Drosophila melanogaster: one gene and its partner. The gene in region 1 interacts genetically with each later gene. Each region holds a gene or a part of one and is shown on either strand. Other genes may lie near its edges.

Evidence for each region. A genetic interaction does not mean that the proteins touch.
Region 2: of r (region 1) and su(r), changing one suppresses a phenotype caused by changing the other (phenotypic suppression), as found in Drosophila melanogaster (one study listed by BioGRID).

What each region holds. Positions count from the first base shown.
Region 1 is NC_004354.4:16,653,459-16,660,105, forward strand, and holds the start of r (rudimentary), read left to right. Parts: upstream 1-1,900; 5' UTR 1,901-2,151; intron 2,152-2,632; exon of another isoform or gene 2,633-2,701; intron 2,702-2,926; 5' UTR 2,927-2,939; coding exon 2,940-3,698; intron 3,699-3,762; coding exon 3,763-6,647. Other genes in the region: Nemp (nuclear envelope integral membrane protein), read right to left, coding at 1-610, 678-1,409. UniProt on the Drosophila melanogaster protein: Multifunctional protein that encodes the first 3 enzymatic activities of the de novo pyrimidine pathway: carbamoylphosphate synthetase (CPSase; EC 6.3.5.5), aspartate transcarbamylase (ATCase; EC 2.1.3.2) and dihydroorotase (DHOase; EC 3.5.2.3).
Region 2 is NC_004354.4:9,195,342-9,203,338, forward strand, and holds su(r) (suppressor of rudimentary), read right to left. Parts: upstream 6,480-7,997; 5' UTR 6,279-6,479; intron 4,856-6,278; 5' UTR 4,837-4,855; coding exon 4,792-4,836; intron 4,733-4,791; coding exon 1,928-4,732; intron 1,870-1,927; coding exon 1,712-1,869; intron 1,638-1,711; coding exon 1,550-1,637; 3' UTR 1,467-1,549; downstream 1-1,466. Other genes in the region: CG12118 (uncharacterized protein), read right to left, coding at 210-761.

The DNA of each region.
Region 1 (6,647 bases):
CCACCTCCTGCTCGAAGAACTCCTCCTCCTCGCTGTCATCGGACTCCGACTCCGGCTCCGGCTCCGAGTTGCGGGCGGCCTGTTGATAGCGGAACTGCGAGTTGGGCAGCGGCAGTAACTCCGCTGGTTTATCCTCCTCAGGTTCCTCCACTGATTCCTCCTCGGGCGCCGCATCCATGGACTCCTCGATGGTGCGCGAGTGGTCCTCGATCTCTTCGTCGTCCAGATGCGGTGCTCCATTGGCGAACGAGGCGAAGCGCAAAGGATCACGCAGTTTGCCCATCACCGCCCACTGCTTGCACTCCGGACTGTTGACGTACTTGCGCAGGTCCGCCAGCGATTTCGAGGTCTCCACGGCCGTCTGCTGTTCGTACTCCTCCTGGGTGAGCATGCGCCTCTTTAGCGGAAAACGGCGGCGATACATGAACTTGATCTGGTTCGTCCACGAAATGGGGAAGTAGTGGGCCACAAAGACCAGCACCATGATGAAGATCACGGCGCTGGTGTGCCAGCTGCTGAAGTAAGCCATAACGGCGCCAATGGCCTGCAGCACCCACATGACGATGGTTTGCGATCGAGGATTCTTGGGCGGACCAATGCGATAGCAGATCTGTAGAATAATCGAGGCAATTAGCTGGGGTTATCTAATCAAAAGGGAATATCAAGTGACTACGCACCAGGAACGAGATCAGTCCGGTGATCACCAGATAGCCCAGCACATGGTCGCGGTAGGTGATCAGAATCAAACGCAGATTGTCCGCCAGCTGTTTGATCACATAGAAGCCAATGGTCCAGCCGCCAATTAGGACGCCATACATCATGGTACGTCGCGGAAAGAGTTTGGCGGCCAAATAGATGACCACCAGCAGGGAGGCGCATATGCCGATGACAATGCCGACCAGATAGTAGAACACACTGTTCTTTGCTAGCCGCCGGGCGCTGAAGAGGATCAGTATGCCGACGGCGAACTGTGCGAGACGCCACAGATCCAGCGGAATGCTATTCAGAATGACGGTGTACGCCTGGCGGGAGGAAATCCCGATGCACTGCTGCTCGAAGGGCGAGAGCTGCAGCAGCTGGCGCTTCTGCGCGAACAGGGTGATGCTGAACAGCGATTGCTTGTCCTTGTAGTGCTGCAACACCTCCTCCGGCGTCTTCCCACCGTACTGGGAATAATCATCGCTCCCGATGGCCAGGACGAACTCCACAGTCTCGAAGAGACTTGACACCGTCAGCCGTTTACCCGGATAGCAGAACGTGCGCAGAGTCTGCAGTCCCAAGATGTTCTCCGACAAATTGATGTATGTGCCCGGCGTCAGGTAGGCGACGTCCGAGGAAGCCGTATTGCCAGGAATACCCGATGTGAAATATCCAGCCACGGTTAGCATCAGTAGTCCAGCCGAATGCATTATGAACGGTTGCAATGGCGTTAATCTTATCAATCAGTGCGCTTTCAGTCTGTTGCTCTCGCAGGACGTTCGCTTGTTAAATGCTGACTTGCTTATGCTTGATGTTTTGATGTTTACTTTACTTTAAGGAATCGAATGAAAAAGCAACGCCGCTTTGGTTTATGTCCTCACTCACGACGGGACGGGCAGTATATCGTAACGTAAGAAAAATGTATCGATAGGTGTGTGTGTGACTACACTGTTGTGATTTCAAATTTGTGACTAACCATTTAATTGTGGATTATTTATTTCCTTTGGAATACTTTGCAGAACACCCCATTTAAACATGTTTGCTAATATTATTACAAATATCTTATCTTATTCATAACAATAAATGAATATATAACGTTCTTGCCAAGTTCCCAACCTGCAATATTACTTCTAGTAAAGTTCCACACCGCCGAGCTAAGCTCTTGCTGTGGCATTTTTTAGCACATAATGCACGAAGATTCCGATTCAACCAAGGCGGTGAATTCAGTTGTTCGACTTTGATTTTCCAGACGTTAATTGGAGCCAATTTGCAAGCAAACACAGTTAAATGCTCAAACTAAACATATCCGAGCAGTGCGAAGTTAACCAGCTCTAAAAGCGGTGTCGCAAAGTAAACAAATCAAGTTGTCAATCGAATTAAAGTCGAAACCAAAACGTGTTCACAACTACAAGTGCAGCAAAGAGAGAGCTTCGCTTGAAAGTACACGGAATCGTAAGTGAGCTGTAGTTGTAACGGGTGCAGATGGGAAAAGGATAACTTGATGGCGATACTAATGCATCGTAGCTTAAGGATTCTCAGTTGGTTAATCCTCAATTCCTGCCCAAAGTCCAATTCAAAGTTAAAGTCAATGTTATTGTTATTCTCATTTGCTGACCGAACCGGTTTCCAATTGGATCCAAACTTCTCACACGTGCTTACGCACACACAAAACGCACCCTCTCACACTCGCTCTTCCTCTTTCTTCTCCGCCGCTAGTCATCGTGTAAACAAACCGTGAATGGCAATATCAAATGACAACAGGAACTTGAAACGCTTGATAAGCAGTGTCCATTCCCAATCAGAACCGTGTTGTGCCCCGCTCAACATGTTGCCAGACAGTTAAATACATGCATACATTCATCTATCGCGGCTTCCTATTGGATTCTTTGTATATTTTCTTGGGCCGGCAAACTGTGTGCGTGTGACGGTGTGTTTATAAACACATGTGTTTTTTGAACAAGATAACCTGTGGAATTATATTACATTACATTTAAAATCGAGGGTATGCACGCGCTCTGCGTAAACATATAGCATAGTCATAGCATATACTCATTAAGTAAAGTTCCCAGAGTCGCCGAATATTGTTATCAGATTTTCGACTCAATATTGTGTCTACTTGCCTTCGTAGAGATATGATCTTTTAATTAATTAACTTTGCTCGTTTATTTAAGACGGTTTTCGAGTGACAGGTACTAAAGAATACCCTATGGTTTCCAATCCTCCCCAGCAACTCGTCCAATATGGCCTCTACGGACTGTTACCTCGCACTGGAGGATGGCACAGTGTTGCCCGGGTACTCCTTTGGCTACGTTCCCTCGGAGAATGAATCCAAAGTGGGTTTTGGTGGCGAGGTGGTCTTCCAAACGGGCATGGTTGGCTACACGGAGGCGCTCACGGATCGATCGTACAGTGGTCAGATCCTGGTGCTTACCTATCCACTGATCGGTAACTATGGGGTACCAGCGCCGGATGAGGACGAGCACGGACTGCCGCTGCACTTCGAGTGGATGAAAGGCGTCGTCCAGGCCACCGCCTTGGTGGTGGGCGAGGTGGCTGAAGAGGCATTTCACTGGCGCAAATGGAAGACGCTGCCCGATTGGCTGAAGCAGCACAAGGTGCCCGGAATTCAAGACATTGATACTCGAGCCCTGACCAAAAAACTGAGGGAGCAGGGAAGCATGCTAGGCAAGATTGTCTACGAGAAACCGCCGGTCGAAGGGCTGCCCAAGTCCAGTTTCGTAGATCCGAACGTCAGGAATTTGGCCAAGGAGTGCAGCGTTAAGGAGCGACAAGTGTACGGTAATCCCAATGGCAAGGGACCACGGATCGCCATTCTGGACTGTGGACTGAAGCTCAACCAGTTGCGCTGCCTGCTGCAACGTGGCGCCTCGGTGACCTTGCTCCCCTGGAGCGCTCGTCTCGAGGATGAGCAGTTCGACGCCCTCTTTCTGTCTAACGGACCTGGTAATCCGGAGAGCTGCGACCAGATCGTCCAACAGGTGGGTCACAATTGAATCATTTGGATAGAATATAATGCTAATTTAACTAATCTTTTGTTTCTAGGTGAGAAAAGTGATTGAGGAGGGTCAAAAGCCCGTCTTTGGAATATGTCTGGGTCACCAGCTGTTAGCGAAGGCAATCGGCTGCTCTACTTACAAAATGAAGTACGGCAATCGAGGACACAATCTGCCCTGCCTGCACCGAGCAACTGGACGTTGCCTGATGACGTCGCAGAATCACGGATACGCGGTCGATTTGGAGCAGTTGCCCGACGGCTGGTCGGAGCTATTTGTGAATGCCAACGACGGCACCAACGAGGGCATTGTCCATGCCAGCAAGCCCTACTTTTCGGTTCAGTTCCATCCGGAGCATCATGCTGGACCGCAGGACACGGAGTTCCTGTTCGATGTCTTTATGGAGAGCATTCAACAGAAGGATTTGACCATTCCGCAGCTGATCGAGCAGCGACTGCGTCCGACTACGCCTGCCATAGATTCGGCTCCAGTGATGCCGCGCAAAGTCCTAATCCTGGGATCCGGTGGACTGTCCATTGGTCAGGCTGGCGAGTTTGACTACTCCGGATCGCAGGCCATCAAGGCCATGAGGGAATCAAACATTCAAACAGTGCTCATCAATCCGAACATAGCCACCGTTCAGACCTCTAAGGGAATGGCCGACAAGTGCTACTTCCTTCCCCTAACACCTCACTATGTTGAGCAGGTGATTAAGTCGGAGCGTCCGAACGGAGTACTGCTCACCTTTGGCGGCCAGACCGCTCTCAATTGTGGCGTGCAACTGGAGCGAGCCGGAGTTTTCTCCAAATACAATGTCCGCATTTTGGGCACACCCATCCAGTCGATCATCGAGACGGAGGATCGCAAGCTCTTTGCCGAGCGGGTCAACGAGATTGGCGAGCAGGTGGCGCCATCTGAGGCTGTGTACTCCGTTGCCCAGGCACTGGATGCGGCCAGTCGCTTGGGTTATCCGGTGATGGCCCGTGCTGCCTTCTCCCTGGGCGGACTGGGTTCCGGGTTCGCCAACAACGAGGAGGAGCTGCAGAGCCTGGCCCAACAGGCACTGGCCCACTCGAGCCAACTAATTGTGGACAAATCCCTGAAGGGTTGGAAGGAGGTGGAGTACGAGGTGGTGCGCGATGCCTACAACAACTGCATTACCGTATGCAACATGGAGAACTTCGATCCCCTGGGCATCCACACGGGCGAGAGTATTGTGGTGGCCCCATCGCAGACCCTCTCGGATCGCGAGTACCAAATGCTCCGCAGCACCGCCCTGAAGGTTATCCGTCACTTTGGTGTCGTTGGCGAGTGCAACATTCAGTACGCCTTGTGTCCCCATTCGGAGCAGTACTACATTATCGAGGTGAACGCCCGACTGTCGCGCAGCTCCGCGTTGGCCAGCAAGGCCACCGGCTATCCACTGGCCTATGTGGCCGCCAAGTTGGCTTTGGGATTGCCCCTGCCAGATATCAAGAACTCGGTGACGGGCAATACGACGGCCTGCTTTGAGCCATCCCTCGATTACTGTGTGGTCAAGATTCCACGCTGGGATTTGGCCAAATTCGTGCGGGTTAGCAAGCACATTGGCAGCTCGATGAAAAGTGTCGGTGAGGTGATGGCCATCGGTCGCAACTTCGAGGAAGCGTTCCAAAAAGCCCTGCGCATGGTGGACAGCGATGTGCTTGGCTTTGATCCGGATGTGGTTCCGCTTAACAAGGAGCAGCTGGCCGAGCAGCTTTCGGAGCCGACGGATCGTCGTCCCTTCGTCATTGCCGCTGCTTTGCAATTGGGCATGAGCCTTAGGGAGCTGCATCAACTAACCAATATCGATTATTGGTTTCTGGAAAAGCTGGAAAGGATCATCTTACTGCAGTCCCTGCTCACCCGTAATGGCAGTCGAACCGATGCCGCTCTGCTGTTGAAGGCCAAGCGTTTTGGTTTTTCGGACAAGCAGATAGCTAAGTACATTAAGAGCACGGAGCTGGCTGTTCGTCACCAGCGGCAGGAGTTTGGCATCCGCCCGCATGTCAAGCAGATCGACACGGTGGCCGGCGAATGGCCCGCCAGTACCAACTATCTGTACCACACATATAACGGAAGCGAGCACGATGTGGACTTCCCCGGCGGACACACTATTGTGGTGGGCTCGGGCGTCTATCGTATCGGATCCTCAGTGGAGTTTGATTGGTGTGCCGTGGGCTGCCTGCGCGAATTGAGGAAGCTACAGCGACCCACCATCATGATTAACTACAATCCTGAAACGGTTTCCACCGACTACGATATGTGCGATCGCTTGTATTTCGAGGAGATTAGCTTCGAGGTGGTCATGGACATCTACGAGATGGAGAATAGCGAGGGCATCATTCTGTCCATGGGCGGCCAGCTGCCCAACAATATAGCCATGGATCTGCATCGCCAGCAGGCGAAGGTGTTGGGCACATCGCCGGAGTCCATCGACTGTGCCGAAAATCGATTTAAATTCTCGCGCATGCTGGACAGGAAGGGTATCTTGCAGCCACGCTGGAAGGAGCTGACCAACCTACAGTCGGCCATCGAATTTTGCGAGGAGGTTGGCTATCCCTGTCTGGTTAGGCCATCCTATGTGCTCTCCGGTGCGGCCATGAATGTGGCCTATTCCAATCAGGATCTGGAGACATATCTGAACGCCGCCTCCGAGGTGAGTCGCGAGCATCCGGTTGTCATTTCGAAGTTCCTCACCGAGGCCAAGGAGATCGATGTGGATGCAGTGGCATCCGATGGACGCATCCTGTGCATGGCTGTTTCGGAGCACGTGGAGAATGCCGGAGTGCATTCAGGTGATGCCACGCTGGTTACCCCACCGCAGGATCTGAATGCGGAGACCCTGGAGGCCATTAAACGGATCACATGCGATTTGGCCAGCGTACTGGATGTCACCGGTCCCTTCAACAT
Region 2 (7,997 bases), 7.5 Mb from region 1:
AATGATTGAAAATGTTATGGCTTACTTTAAAATTGGGTGCCAAACTTAAGGAAGGTCAACCCACCTAGCTTTCAACGTGCTAAACTGGTTTGATTGTATATAAACAAATGATCAGAGCAATAACGAGGTCATTCCTCCAATTCATCCAAATACACTGCAGTGTGATTTCCCGCTACAGTGTGGATGCGTGAATAAAACTGATTTCTCACCTTGGCAGCGCCCATTTCGATGTCTCCTTCGTGGCTGAGAACAAGCATGGTGATGTTTATGCACTGCTGTGCGACGACGGGTACCGGGAAGATCTCCAAGAGTGGCACACGGATAAGCAGGGGACACTTACAGCAGGTGAATTCCAGGCGCGATTTGTCCGTATTGGGACCCTTGTGAAAGTTAACCAGGTGGCCAAGCGGCTCGAGCAGACCGACGGTGGTGCTGTCGCCCTGCCAGGCGGGCCCAATGCCATTTGGCAGATAGAAGCGATTGCCTCTTTCGGCGGTCAGTTCCCAGTTGGGCTCACTCTCCAAACTATTTAGCTCATCGTCGTCGTCGAGATCCCGCGACTTGACGGTCTTAAAGTATCCGCCGGCATCCGACGGTGGGCCATTTCGCTTGGAGTATCTAGCCACCGGAATGATGGCCGTGTTGGTCACCTTGGTGCTCAGTAGGTCGTTCAGTCTGTTGGATCCGCGATGTACGGTATGTGAAATGGACAGGGATGGCGCCCAGATGGTACCCAATACGCGACTCAATGATCGAGACATTATTATATCATATGCTTCTGTAAATGCGTAGAATCTGCTGGCAATCAGTGCTATTTTGGATGCGAGATGCAATGCGACGACAATGGTGCTTACCTTGGATGGCGGAACTGGATTTGGAGTGCTGTGCTCTGCAGACGCTTTCAAATAATGCCGGATTTTATGTGGCTTTAGAATTTTACGTTGAATTTTGTTTTCAGATTAAATCTATTGCCTATTTGAAAGTAGAGACGACTAGTTTTTTTTGACGCACAGCTGCTACTGGATTCCTACGTCGTTCCGTTTTTCTGTTTTTCTAAACTAAAATTTTCAATATCGACAAACAGCTGATCCCATTCGATAGTATCGCCTATATTAGGGATGAGAAAAGTAATATGGTAAATAATTAATGTTATATATATTTCAAAACATTAAAGTAAATTTCGTTGTTGCTACTTGAGCTTAACTGTTCGTTAATTTCGCAGACAATATATATTAATAGAATTTTTGTTTTTTTTTGCTAAAAAATTGGTCTCCAAAATCAGCTGATAGACATCGATAAAGTTGGGAAAAGCTTGAGTTGCGCGCCAATTTCAAATACGAATTTCAAATCAAAATGATTATAAAATAAGTGGATTGGTCATCAGTGATATAATAAACATAGTAATTTTTTTAAAGTTATTTTTCCTACTTTCGTATTTTTAAGCAAATAAAACTGAATGCCATCTTCTGCTTTTGAAACATGTTTTGTATTTAATTGAATTACATAGATTGGAATTTACTATCGGTATTTCGCGTAGAACTAGGGACTTTTACTGGCACTGGCTGAGAGCGTGGGTGTAGAAGATCTTCTCCTCGACTCCTCGCTTGATCACGTGCGGAATCTTCTTGGGCACCATGCTGGAAATATATAAATACATAATATAGTTAGTTAACCAGTATATATATGATGCTGGTGACATTGAGGAACCCACGTGATGCAGTCGATGATGGGACAAACGGAGACGCAGAGTGTGCAGCCCGTGCAATCGTCGTTCACGTGCGGAATGTGGGTGTCCTTGTCGAATTCGATGGCCTGGTAGCCGGAATCGGCGCAGGTCATATAGCACTTTCCGCAGTTTATGCACATGTCCTGGAAAGCACGGATGCAATTAGAAATTTGGATACTTTAATGATAACTCAGCACTCACATCATCGATGAGCGCCACCTTCTGTTGTTTGTTATCCAGCTTGTTGTATGACCCGATCTTGTCTAGCGCTGCTCCGATCACATCCTTGATTCTTGGTGCCGGATTGGGTGCTCCATTGGACGCCGGAGGAGTGGCCTTCACCTGCTCGGCATCCCAAAGAGCTCCCTTCTGACTTCGCAGCTCGGCCATCTTGATGTCGCGCTGCCGCTGGTAGGGACCAAAGAAACCCAGCGTGGCTTTGCCCTCGCCGGTCAAACGGACAACGGGCTTGCCCTTCTGATGGACCGGCGTGGGTGGTGACTGGCCATCCCAGAAGGGACCATCGACTGGTGGCGGATTCGCCTTCAGGTAGAGCAGTGCCTTCAGTGCCGTGCAATAGTCCTCGATGACGGTGAAGTCCTGGTTCTGTACGGAGGAGCAGATCTGCAGAACAGTGGCGCCCGCATGAATAAACTGCAGCGCAACCTCACCGGAATCGATGCCACCGATACCGAGAATGGGGAATCCCGGCACACGGTTGGCAATATCAGAGATGGCCTTCAGAGCCATCGGACGAGTGGCATTGCCGGAGACGCCGCCGTAAGTGGTGCGCTGCTCCTTGCCAATCGCCGGCCAGGCGGTGGAGTCCGCCTTGAGGCCCATCAGTCCCTGAACGGTGTTGATGGCCGATCCGCCATCGGCTCCTCCCCGCTTTGCGGCCGCCGCAATGGAAACGATATCCGTAATGTTTGGCGTTAGCTTGATGAAGAAGGGCAGCTTGACCGCCTTTCGCACCCAGCGAGAGATCTGCTCCACCAACTCGGGATCCTGGCCACAGGCCAAGCCCATACCTCGCTCGCCCATGCCATGTGGACACGATAGATTCAGCTCGAGGGCATCGGCACCCGACTGCTCCGCCTTAATGGCCAACTCCGTCCAGTCTTCCTCGTTGAAGCTGCACATAATGCTGGCTATCACGATCTTCTCGGGGAAGTCACGCTTCAGTTCTCCAATCGATTTCAGCCAGTACTCGGCCCGCTTCTCCGAGATTAGTTCGATGTTCAGGAAACAGCCCTGCTGCGGTCCATACTTGTAGCCCGACGTGGTGCCCCTGACGATGCGCGGCGAGACATTCGTGACCAGATCCTTGTCCAGACCGAACGTCTTGGTCACCACAAAGCCCCAGCCCTGCTCGAAGGCGCGACGTATCATGGCCGTGCTGGTGGTGGGCGGTGCGGAGGCCAGGCCAAAGGGATTCTCGAACCGGATGCCGCACATCTCCACCGATATGTCCACGGCATCGATGTCCGTATAGAAGAGCGGCAGTGCAGCCGGCGTGTCCAGTGGCAGGCCCTGCAGTTGACAATGAATGCTCCAGGCGGCCACCTTGCCATCATTGACCGACTCCACCGTGGTGTTGGCCACTCCAGCGAGATCGCCGCCGAGGAACACCTGTTTCACACTGCTCTGCATCGTCACCCTGTCCACCACGGGCAATTCGCCGCGGAATTGCAACGGCGCTAGTGCCGCCTTGACATCCTGATCCTCCAGGCCGGACCCAAAGGCGGAGATCACAAAGTTCGCCTTCAAGCGCTGCGTCTGCTCCTCATCCTCCACCCATTCATCGTTTTCGTTCTGCTCCGTGCGACAGAATTCCATGGCTGTGATCAGGCCATCCTTGACGATCACTTTGCGTGGACTCAGGTACGGCAACAGCTCACAGCGTTCGTCACGCGCCAGCTCCACCTCTTCGGGCACAGCACGAATGCCGGAGGATCCTTTGCGGAAGACGACGAACACACGCCTAGCACCACATCTCAGCGCCGAAGTGGCGCAATCGAAGGCCGTATCACCGGCACCCAAAACGATGACATTGCCATGGAGCTTGGGTAAACCGGCCGCTGCCTTGCAGGCGCACAAACCCGGTTTCGAGCCATCCGACACCAAGGGCAGGAAGTTTTTCGAGGTGTAGAAACCATTGCTGGGCTGAAGGCCAGCGAAAATGGGATTCAGCTTCGGTTCCGGCAGGCCAATGCCCACAAAGACGGCATCATGGCCGGTGGACAGGAGTCCCTGGATGGTCAAATCCTTGGTGCCCAGCGAGCGACCCGTTTCGATGCGTACGCCCAGATCGCGAACCAAATCGATCTCAAAGTTAACCGCATCGATGGGCAGACGATACTGGGGAATTTCAGCGGCACTCAGGCCACCCAGATAGCTTCTCCGCTCGTAGATGGTCACATCCCGATAGCCCAGACGGGCCAGGAAGGTGGCGCACGACAGCGATGCCGGTCCGCCGCCCACGAGGGCGATCTTTTGCGACAGCGGATTGGCCTCCGCCTGCGGTGTCCTCCGCTGCCGCACGCCCATCTTCTTGAACACCTCGGTGGCGAACTGCTGGAGGCCACCAATGTTAATCGGTCCCGCCTCGGAGGCCTGCAGATTGCAACCGCCCACGCAGAGATCGCTGGTGGGACAGACCATGCCGCAGGTCAGACCCAGCGGATTGTCGGAGAAGATCGCCTTGGCGGCGCCATAGAAATTCTTATTCGCAATGCTCGTAATGAAGCTCTTGATGTCCAGCTGCGTGGGACAGGACTTTTGGCACGGAGCATCGGCGCATTTGAGGCACCTGGCCGCCTCCTCTAGAGCTCCGCGCTCCGACAATGTGGTGTGCTTGATGTCCGAGAAGTCGTTGGCCAGCGTGGTGCACGGCGGAGCAGCGTGATCCGCATTGCGTTTCCAGTGCTTCTTGTTCTCCTTCGTCTGCTTGGTGGGCACCACGGAGCACTGCGTCTTCACTCGCGGATTTAGCGACAGCAGGTCCTAGGAATTACGAAAGGTTTTCACTATCAACGGGAAGTGAATCATGATCCAGGACCTACCTCAATATCTGGGGAGTCCTTGCTCAAAAGTTGGGGCGGACTCATCTTGCTGGCACTGTTTCACCTGTTAATGAAGTGAAAGTGGAACATATGGATTACAGACTGCGGTTGATGGCCACGTGCAGATCGGCGAACTACCCTATCCCTATCGCATCGCAGCCAGAATACCCTAATCGCGAATGGTGACTCCCAGTCGTCTTATCGCTGCCCCACTCGAAATCCAAATCGATCCTGGACAAGACGCTGTATCTAAGTGCACTAATGCCACACCATTGGTCTTATCATCTTATGTATGAGGGCGTTATCATCATATCAGTCAAGGCTGCGACGGCTAGCGGAGATTATGATGGCTTTATGATGGCACGCATATTGGCACCACCCGGTTTTCTATACGTTTCTGTATCTGCTGTTTTTCCACCAAAAGTTTCAGAACCCCAAAAATAAATGGTGCCACCCCACGAAGAGGAAAGATTAGAAACCGGCGAAGGTTACGATCGGGGGGGCCCGTTTCGCTTCTTTTTTTTTTAGCGATAATGGGGCAAGCACTCGATTCGGAAGTTCTGCTTTCGATTTCATTTAAGTATCTAGTAGGTTAAGTATCTCAAGCTGGCGTAAATGTATCTATTAAATGTATCTCAGCTTAGAAGAAGTAATAAACTAACTTCGAAATACATATTCTATTTACAGTTGCTTTTCCTTTTAACTTTGAGAATTGCCACAAATATTATTATATTATTAAATATTATTATTATTATTATATTATGAACCAAATGCCAGAAACTTTGTAAAGTAATACGCATTTAATAAAAAAAAACTGTCACCGTTGCAAATCGACGGCGGAAGTTGTTTTGTATGCCTTTAGCTGTATCTTCTAAGCATGTGCTTAATACAAAGTAAACATTATTCATTATCTATTAGCACAGTGAATTAATAATGGTAAGTAAACCGACTGTTAGCTATTGCCTAATTATAAACGATAATAAAGTTGTTTTACATATTAACCATTCTCACATTACCAATTACTTGGCTTTTTGTGAATAGCCATAACTATTTTAATCACACAAACGTGGAGCTTTGCTTTACAAGACCTTCAATCGAATTCAATTCAATTAATATTTTGTAACACGCGCTATCTCCCTCGGCGCCGCGCGCCCTCTCGCTCTCGCGCACACTCTAGCGCGCTGATTAAGAATTTTTATAGATGTATTTTGTTTTTTTCGTTTTTGTCATAATAGTTGAAGCCCCCAGCTGCTGTTTGTTCATTATCAGTTTGGCTTCGTGGTCCGGCAAGTTTTTGAATATGTTTTCATTATACGTAGGTACATATGTATATGCTATATGCTAATGGCGAAATGCGAAAAACAAGTTCAGAATTCGAGCTGCTGCTTATGCTTAAATTGGGTTTCGTTTCGTTTGATTGTTAGATGTTTTTTTCAATTTTTTTTCTTTTTGCTCATTTAGCCAAGATTGGTGGCCGCAATACATACCGATCGAAGGAACGTTATTAGCTAATTTATGAACACTTTTTTTTATTAGAATCTTTAGATTAGCACAGCGAAAAAAAATAATAATAATAGCTATTCACTAGCTGGAGTGAAAATCGACTGGCGACGGTTTGGCGACTAAAAAAAAAAACACGAAAAATTCGAATTGGTCTTCACACTGGAAACGCCCAATTGAAAATGCTCTTGGAAACCGATTTCCAAATCGTCGTTAACTCGGTTTTGCGTCGCAGTCGGCGTCGCTGCCGACGTCGGTCTTCCCATTTCACAGGGGCGTAGCCTAGCTCCCAAATGGGGGGGGGGGGGGGGGTCTTTATCAGATTTTACACACAATAGCTTTAGAGTCGCAATGAGATAACAATATGAAGTTAAGTTGCTGGGCTAGTAAGTAATAGTATATCTTTATTATTTTCTCAAAACAATCCATATATATATATATAGTTCTCGTCTGGTATGTCTTTGCAAAAACATTGTTGTCTAGTTGTTAACGTTGTTGAACACTGAGAAAAACACGCAAATCATAACGAGATAAGATCTTATATATTTATTACATAAGATTATATATTATGAATTTAAAACTCAATCTCGTAAAAGTATCTAAGAGGTTTATTTTTTATCAAATTTTTTTATATTTTCCATTTGATTTTATCACTATCCCAATTTTATCTCTAAGATGGTATCTTTTCGAACTTTTCTTAGTGTAGATAAAGTATTTCAGGGTGTGCTATTCGATCGCCTTAGTTTTGTTTGTACACTCTTCGCTCTCAGTTTCGATTGAATCAACCTTACAATTTACTACAGTAAGTATTCAGTTGAGCGAACTTCTACAGAATTTCAAATAGATGCTTTAATAATTGCAATGGTACTAAAAATATAATAATATGAATATTATTTCTTCAGTTTTCTTAGTTCAGATAAAGATTATTTACTGAATGATTAGATGTTACATTTTGCAGAATGATAGAAGTTTGCAAATAAATATTAATTAGTTGAATATCAGGTAGTTTCACTTTGGAGATTTTGCTGTAGCACATTACATCAGTTCATTCATATAATCACAGCCCAAAAGAATGCTATTTTAGAGGATTTGTATTATATATATATCGTTATTCTTTCATAAAATTTTTGATAAATATACCAGCATATTTGTTAAAAGCTAAACATTTATAAGCTTCATTTGGATAATTTTTGAAATCAAATCAAATTGAAGTTCGCATTTTGGCAGTTTACCTTTTGGATTTATTTATCAACGCGGCTTTTACATAAACTTGGCCTAGAAGTATGCAATCGTTTAATTGAAATGCTCATTCTAAAGTGTTGTGTTTAACATAAAGAATACAAATAGCTTATTTTCTAAAATGTTGCAGACATTTTAGATTGCTAACTTATTATAAAATATATAATACGTTTCCGGTGCTCCTAGCATTTATTTTTGGCCATGAGCATTTGCTTTTCTTGATTTATCTGCCATTAAATTGTAATCATATTGGCCATAAAAACGCAGACATTCTGAGTGCCAAGTTCCAAGTTGGCACTGGCCCGTGACATTGGCCATCAACTTGGGATAATCTCTAGCTGAATGGCCAGATGAATGAGTTGTTTGCAGTAGCCTTTTCTAGTCGAAATCCCCGGAAAGGCGCCACTAACGCCTGCCAGCCTCCATTGGCTGCCCATTAAAGTGAAATAAATAACTCGGGACTACAG